Diceros bicornis minor: one gene and its partner. Each later gene encodes a partner of the first gene's protein in a complex. Links are inferred from orthologs where the notes say so. Each region holds a gene or a part of one and is shown in the gene's direction. Other genes may lie near its edges. The genes, in order: HBS1L and PELO.

Region 1 (3,918 bases):
CCATTTCAAAAACACAACCTAAAACTGAAATATACTTTGTTTAGTATGATAATGAGGTTGGTTTTTTACATGGCATCATTCACTTTGTGTTCTAAGAAGTGAGGACATTTAATAGTCGGTTATAGATTTATTCATCAACGTTCATCACTACCATCCAAGGCCAGTACTGTGTCCAAAAAGCTATATTTAATACTCTTATTATGTTACACATGATCGTGTGTTCAGAAGGCTCAATGAATCCTTCTTCATGCTGCTGCTGCTAACCGTTTACACGGCCAAGGGCAGATGGTCGTTTACTGGAGGCATTAGTGCAAGAGGAGCACATACGTGCAACTAAGAATCACACGAAAGCACGGTGACCTACTGCAGCCAGATTCTCAATTTAACCATATATACCCACTTAAAAAGGGTCCTTTCTTCCTCTCTAACGCTTGGACTGATTCTTAAAACAAATGTACACAAGTTAGTTAATGCTTACGTCCCTAAGCAGACCTCAAAGACGAAAGTAAGTTGGATGAGACAAGGTCCCTGCTCTTATTCAGCACACAGTCAGCTTTTTCACTACATTATCAGAAACTAAACTCGGAAAATAATCTGGAACACGGGCATAGATCAAAGGATCCGGCTCGTAAATTTGCTCCAAAACAACAAATTGTGGGCGGTGCAATTCCGCCCCTTTGAAACTCCTGTCAGTCACGCAGTCTGTGGGCGGGGCCACGCCGAAACGCAATCTCCGTGCGCGTGAGTGCGCATGCGTCCCGGGGGAGGCGGGTGACCCCTAGAGGTTGCCGTCGCGCGTGCGCAGGTAAGACGTCGCGCGTGCGCAGGCGCTCGGCGCAGAGGCCTGCCGGAAGCCAAGATGGCGTATCGGTGTTCTCCAGGCCGCAGTTGGCGCCTTGTCCGTGTCTGAGCGGGTGTTTCGTCAGGGGCTGTGGCGAACGCCCTCTCCGCCGCCATGGCCCGGCATCGGAATGTCCGAGGCTATAACTACGACGAAGGTAGGTGGCAGGGTCATGCGGGGAGGTCACTGTCGCCGTCCCGGCCGGGCTCCCTGCCCGTTGGCATCCCCTGGGCTCTGGGAGCGTCCCGTCGGAGGGGCCAGGAGTCAGAGGAGGCTCGGCTGGAGGAAACGGCGGGACCCCGATGCCGGCGGTGGCATTGTTTGGGCGGTGATTCTGCCCTCGGGGATCGGTCCTGTTTGGGGCGGGGGCCGCGCTGCCCGGCGGCGTGCGGGACGACGTGTGGGAGGTCGGCCCCGGGGACTCCTGCACGTAAGCGTCGTCACCTCCTGCCTCCCCTGCCCTCCCGGGTCGGGGCGCGCCGCCTGCGTCGAGCTCCTCCTCCCCGACCCCCATTTCAGAAGTGCCATATGTTCCTTGTTTGTAAAACACGGGGTGTCTTAAAGGTTGCATTCATCTGTTCTGCTGTGCCTGTTAGAGCTACGTGTCAGTCTTTTGTGTTTGTTCACACGTTTAGTGCAGAACCTGGCTTCATCTAACTGATTAACTTACGTTCTGTGAATTTCAAGTTAAATTGGAAACTTAGGAGACGGTAGAAAAGATAGATATTAAAAAGGCCCAAGGAATAAGTCGATCAGATGATCTGAGGGGTATACTCAGTTCTTGGTTGATGATTCTCAAAGTAAATGTATTTTGAAATGGAAAAAAAAAGCGGTACTAGAAGGGGGCTTTGAAAAGGACTTACTGATTTTAAAAAATGAAATAAAAGGAAAAAACATGTATATGAATGTTCTCTAGGCGTTTACAAGGAGTTAGAATGTTTAGGACAAGCATAGCATCTCTATGCAGTGGATAATTATAGGCATCACCAAGCATCATACAAACTAAAATTATAAACGTATATGAATGAGTGCAGCAGAGGAGTGAAGACCTATTGCTTTGTAAAGTGCAGAGCATGTAGTGTGCTTAATATGTTGGTGGTTATTATTGACACTCCCAGCAGATTATTCTAGAACATCAGTGTGCTCTCACCCTCGAGGGTAGCTAACACCCTGTGCTACGTTTCGAGCCTGGGACCCAGTCATCCTGGCACACGTTAGGTTCCTGGTGTTCACTTCAGAATGCAGGCCGCCCTAAGTATTGCAGTGGAGGTAAGTATTGCATGTGACGGTTATTACCTGAGAAATGACTTTAGCCCACGACATATTTTTGCACGTATGATACAAAAAACGTGAATAGGCCTAATTACTACTTATTCATTTTTTAAATAAATATTTATCATTTCCTCAACCAACATTAATTGAGTGCTTATTCTTCATTAACTGAGTGCTTAGAGTACTGTTCCAAGCTTGGGGACCGATGGTAAGATGTTTGAGGGAATCTTAAGAGGGAGATGATTAGAGTATGAGATGCTGCAGAAAGGACTCACACAGTGCTATGGGAGCCACTTATTCAGAGTGGGTTGGGGGAGTTTAAGCAGGCCTTCTATGTGAAGGAAAGCTTCCTGGAGAAGAGGTGCTTGGCCTGAGGGAGTGAGTGCTACATATCTTCTCTTCTTGGCAACCCCAGGTCAGGTTGTCGTGGTGTCATGTGTCTTTGGAACAATTGATGACATCATAACCAAGCTGTTCCTTGTAGCATAAGAGGTCCATCCCCTTTTCCTGCGAATAAAAGTTATACTTACTTTAAGAGTCCAGTTTCTTTCTTTTCTTCCCAGTTAAGCTTGCGCTTGTACTCTGAGAATAATAATTTAAAAATTCTCAAAAGTCATATAACTGATTAGAGAGAGTTTGTGCTCCAAAACCGATTGGTTCCTCTGTTTAACTCGCGCACTGTCCTTCTCTGTAACTTGGGTAGTACTTCACGTGAGTACCTCAGCTACTGGTGTAAAAGTGCCAGGAAGGCAAGGTCTATGCTTTATGTTGATATTTACTCCGATGCTTCACATGCAGTAAATACTCCAGAATTTTTGTCGGGGAAAAGAACCACTTTACAAAAATCCTAGGAAAGAATTCTCTTCATCTTTTTATAGTGTAGCGCTTTTAGGGTCAATTTCAGTATTGAAAAACTGACCTAGTAAAAAAGATTTTGTCATTAATATCTAAAAATATTTTTTGTGAATGGCTTATTTGCTAATAAATTGTTATTAAATTGGGATTGTGATCTAATAATTTATTGGATGTTACACACTTTTATCCAATAGTGGTATTTAGCTAATTTTTCTTTGCTGTATACATTTGGTCTCCGCCTTTGAATATGCTGTTCCTGCTGCATGAATACCCTCAGAAATTAGCTAGCCATCCTTTGGGATTGTTTTAAATATTATATTCCCGGGAGTTTTTCCCTAGCCACCTCACTCCCCATTCTATTTTTGTTGTTCATATGTGTGTTCCCAGTAGCTCTGTATCTCTCATGTCAGGCACTTGTCGTGTGGTTTTGTAATTGCCCGTTTTCTCTTCTGTGTTCCTGGTTACATTTTAGGTTTGTAGGGATCTGGGAATGTACCTGTCACTCACTGTTGTACCCTAAATGTCTCTAATTGTCCATGGTAGTATTTGTTGAATGAATAAATACATTTATGTAAACATATTTATGTTCTTTGTGGGTTTTTAGTTTTAAATTGTTTGATTCATTAATTTATAATAAAATATGTATTAATTTGTGCCAGCTATGTGCCAGGTAGTTGGCTACACAGTGTCTTACCCTGAAGGAGCTTAGAGTCTCAGGGAGTGAAGCAGGTACAGTGCTTTGAAGACAGTCAGTTGGAGGAGTGTGCTAGAGAGTAAAAGTGGCAGGGGTGGTCAGGGAAGACTTCTGCATACAGGTGTCCTTTGAGCTGGAACCTTAACTAGGGGAAGGAAACAGCCTAATGAAAATCTGGTTAAAGAGCATTTTCTAGTCAGTGGGAGGAAAGGCCATTTAGCCTGAGCAGAGTGAACACAAGGGAGTTAGGATAAGA
Region 2 (3,631 bases), on another chromosome or scaffold:
TCTTTTTAAGAGGTAATTGCCATTTCTCAAACTCCTCCGCCTACCCCCGCCCCTCGCCTTAAATAAAAAATGTTACGTGACTTAAGGATTTTCTTTCAAATCAATTCTGTAGCTATTCAGTCGGGGTCGGTCACAGTAGATCAGGTTTATCCCCACTTCCCATATCCTCAGCTCTCAGTTCAGCTTTAGCAGTGAAGATCCTACCCTAAGCTGTTGCGACCCAACCGCCACCCTAAACATTTCACTGAGCTGCGGAAAGCTGAGACAGCCAATTTTGGATTATGGGATTCCTAGGACATCAGGTCAAGCAACTGAGAGGTCCACCCAGGGTTAAATTCCACAGATGATTTCTTCTCTCTCTGGGATCAGTTCTTTAACATCTGGGTTAATCAGATCGTGCAGACTAAGCGCAGAAAACAGCTGGGCACGTTGCTCAGCGCCCAGAACCACCTGACCAGTCGTTCTTACAAACAACTTCAGGACACAACAGCTCCAAAAGGCGTGGAGCCTCTGCATGCGGATAAGGCAGAAGCAAAGCCAAGCACAGTTTGGACCGTTAAGGCCAAGTCTGCACTTTTGAGAGTTCCTTTGACTTTTAGATAAGTTTTGAAATTGGATTTACTCAGAGGGAGAAGGTGTAGAGTGGCAACTGCGCGCAGCTGAAAAAAATATATTTGCACTCACATATTCCTCAGATTCTTCACAAACAGGGATGGAAGAGAAAAGTTAGGTAGTCAAAGGTCAGCATTAAAATAAAGGACTTGCCACCAAAGAGCCCGTGCATTTTTCTCAGCTGGTTTATACGTCGGGAGCACCTCCCCGCTTAGTGCGCCTGCGCACGCGCAAACTGCGGCCCCGCCTCCCCTTGGGGCGTAAGACATGCGCATGCGCCCTCATTGCATCAGCCACTTGGTCCGTGCTGGCGGCTGGAACCGCGGAGAGTACGGCGTTCGCTGCGGTGGGTCTCGCGCCGGTTTGGCGCGGCGTGCCCGAGACTGAGAGAAGAAAGGCTAAAGTAAGTGCTCCCCGCGGCCGCTTGAGTCGGAGATAGAGTATTTCCTTTCCGCCAGGCAAGTGCTATAGGAACCGGACCCCGCCCCCTTCCCGGCCTAGACTTCCTTTCCCCTCCCTGCCCCTTTCCCGGTGGGGACCCCCTCGGTTCCTCTTGTTCTGGCAGTGAGCCGCTGCCAGGGTCATGAGGCTCGTGAGGAAGGACATCGAGAAAGACAATGCGGGCCAGGTGACCCTGGTCCCCGAGGAGCCCGAGGACATGTGGCACACCTACAATCTAGTGCAGGTGGGCGACAGCTTGCGCGCCTCCACCATCCGCAAGGTACAGACCGAGTCCTCCACGGGCAGCGTGGGAAGCAACCGGGTCCGCACCACCCTCACTCTCTGCGTGGAGGCCATCGACTTCGACTCTCAAGCCTGCCAGCTGCGGGTCAAGGGAACCAACATCCAAGAGAATGAGTATGTCAAGATGGGGGCTTACCACACCATCGAGCTGGAGCCCAACCGCCAGTTCACCCTGGCCAAGAAGCAGTGGGACAGTGTGGTTCTGGAGCGCATCGAGCAGGCCTGTGACCCAGCCTGGAGCGCCGATGTGGCAGCAGTAGTTATGCAGGAAGGCCTCGCCCATATCTGCTTAGTCACTCCCAGCATGACCCTCACTCGGGCCAAGGTGGAGGTGAACATCCCTCGGAAACGGAAAGGCAACTGCTCCCAGCATGACCGAGCCTTGGAGCGGTTCTACGAACAGGTGGTCCAGGCCATCCAGCGCCACATACACTTTGATGTTGTAAAGTGCATCCTGGTGGCCAGCCCCGGATTTGTGAGGGAGCAGTTCTGCGACTACATGTTTCAACAAGCGGTGAAGACTGACAACAAAGTGCTCCTGGAAAACCGGTCCAAATTCCTTCAGGTAAAACAGTCTTACCCAGGGGTGATTAAGAATGGGCAGAGGGATTTGTATCAACTACTGCTAAAGTTTTAGAACTGGGTGAAGTACAAGAGGAGAAAGTCTTTACTTGATTGGGATTGTAAATGAGATAATGAAAAGGGAACTGTTAAATAGCTAGCAAATTTATGTAGTAAACTTTGCTTAAGGCCTTCAACGTATAAAGCTTTCTGAGTGCTTTTGGCTTTAGGTCATCGTGGGCTGATTAATGGGTGCTCTAAGAGATTCTTTTGTCTAACTTTTATAATTGTGTTTCTAGGTACACGCCTCCTCTGGACACAAGTACTCCCTGAAAGAGGCCCTTTGTGACCCTACTGTGGCTAGCCGCCTTTCAGACACTAAAGCTGCTGGGGAAGTAAAAGCCTTGGATGACTTCTATAAGATGTTACAACATGAACCAGACCGAGCTTTTTATGGACTCAGGCAGGTGGAGAAGGCCAATGAGGCTATGGCCATTGACACATTGCTCATCAGCGATGAGCTCTTCAGGCACCAGGATGTAGCCACCCGGAGCCGGTATGTGAGGCTGGTGGACAGGGTGAAAGAGAATGCAGGCACTGTTAGGATATTCTCTAGTCTTCATGTATCTGGGGAGCAGCTCAGCCAGTTGACTGGAGTAGCTGCCATTCTCCGCTTCCCTGTCCCTGAACTCTCTGACCAAGAGGATGATTCCAGTTCTGAAGAAGATTAATGATTGGAACTTATGATTGAGACAACCTTGTGTCTCTTCACTGTTACATTTTCTCAGCATCCTTGTGACAGGGAGCTGTGGCACTTTGTGATTCTTACAAGGATTTCTCATGTGTTTAATCTCACTAGGTATTTTGTGGTTGGCAGGGCATGTATTCAGACCAAACAATAAATTAAAAGGAAATAATCTCCATGTTCGGTATACCATCTTTATTAATTAGGATAGTTTTATATAGGAATTATGACTTCTTTGCAATACTTAAAAACATTTTGTGTATTTAATGAGAATGCCTATATATTCTTTGGGATAGATCATAATACCCCATACTTGATGCTTTGAAATAGTTTTCCTTAGGAAAAGCCTTTTAATATTTCATTATCCTCGGTTTCCGTTATTTTAATTCTGCATAGTGTTTCTTGCACTGTGTTTAATGATCCCCTTTCTTCCCATTTCTCCTACACTCCATTTTTTTAAAATTTTTAAATTTATTTGCTATTTTAAATGATAGCCAAATAATTAGTAGACTTTTTTTGAAGACAAGTCTAAAATGGTATTTTTCTTAAGAGACTTGTTAAACCAATCATGTTAAAAGTAAGCTCTAGGTGTTTTTTCATTAGAATTAATCATATTTGCTTTAGAGCACCACTTAATCAGTTATTTTTAGATCATGGAGTTTTGATCTGCTAGGGATTCTCAAGATAATCTATTTGAGGCATCTTTATTCTTAAAATGAGACTGAGGTGTGTGATTTGCTTGCTGTGTGGCTAATGGCAAAGCTGGAAGTAGTCCCCGTTTCTTTGCGCTGCCACACTATGTATTTATTTTTTGGCTTGTCATAGGTATACTTAATGCTGTCTTATATTTGTATGTGGCATTAGTCTGTGCTTTCACCTTCTTGCTGGACTTTCTCTACACCTTATTTGAGGGGTGAGAAAGCCTGTTCAGAAAGTTTGAGTAAGTCCCATAGTTAGTATATGGTAGTT

The links.
Region 2: HBS1L (region 1) and PELO share a complex: the UniProt entries of both Homo sapiens proteins name them as parts of the pelota-HBS1L complex. The link is inferred for Diceros bicornis minor from reciprocal best matches to the Homo sapiens genes HBS1L and PELO.

What each region holds. Positions count from the first base shown.
Region 1 is NC_080762.1:3,276,739-3,280,656, forward strand, and holds the start of HBS1L (HBS1-like protein), read left to right. Parts: upstream 1-839; 5' UTR 840-955; coding exon 956-998; intron 999-3,918. UniProt on the Homo sapiens protein: GTPase component of the Pelota-HBS1L complex, a complex that recognizes stalled ribosomes and triggers the No-Go Decay (NGD) pathway.
Region 2 is NC_080759.1:22,672,856-22,676,486, reverse strand, and holds PELO (protein pelota homolog), read left to right. Parts: upstream 1-1,190; 5' UTR 1,191-1,195; coding exon 1,196-1,921; intron 1,922-2,216; coding exon 2,217-2,648; 3' UTR 2,649-2,840; downstream 2,841-3,631. UniProt on the Homo sapiens protein: Component of the Pelota-HBS1L complex, a complex that recognizes stalled ribosomes and triggers the No-Go Decay (NGD) pathway.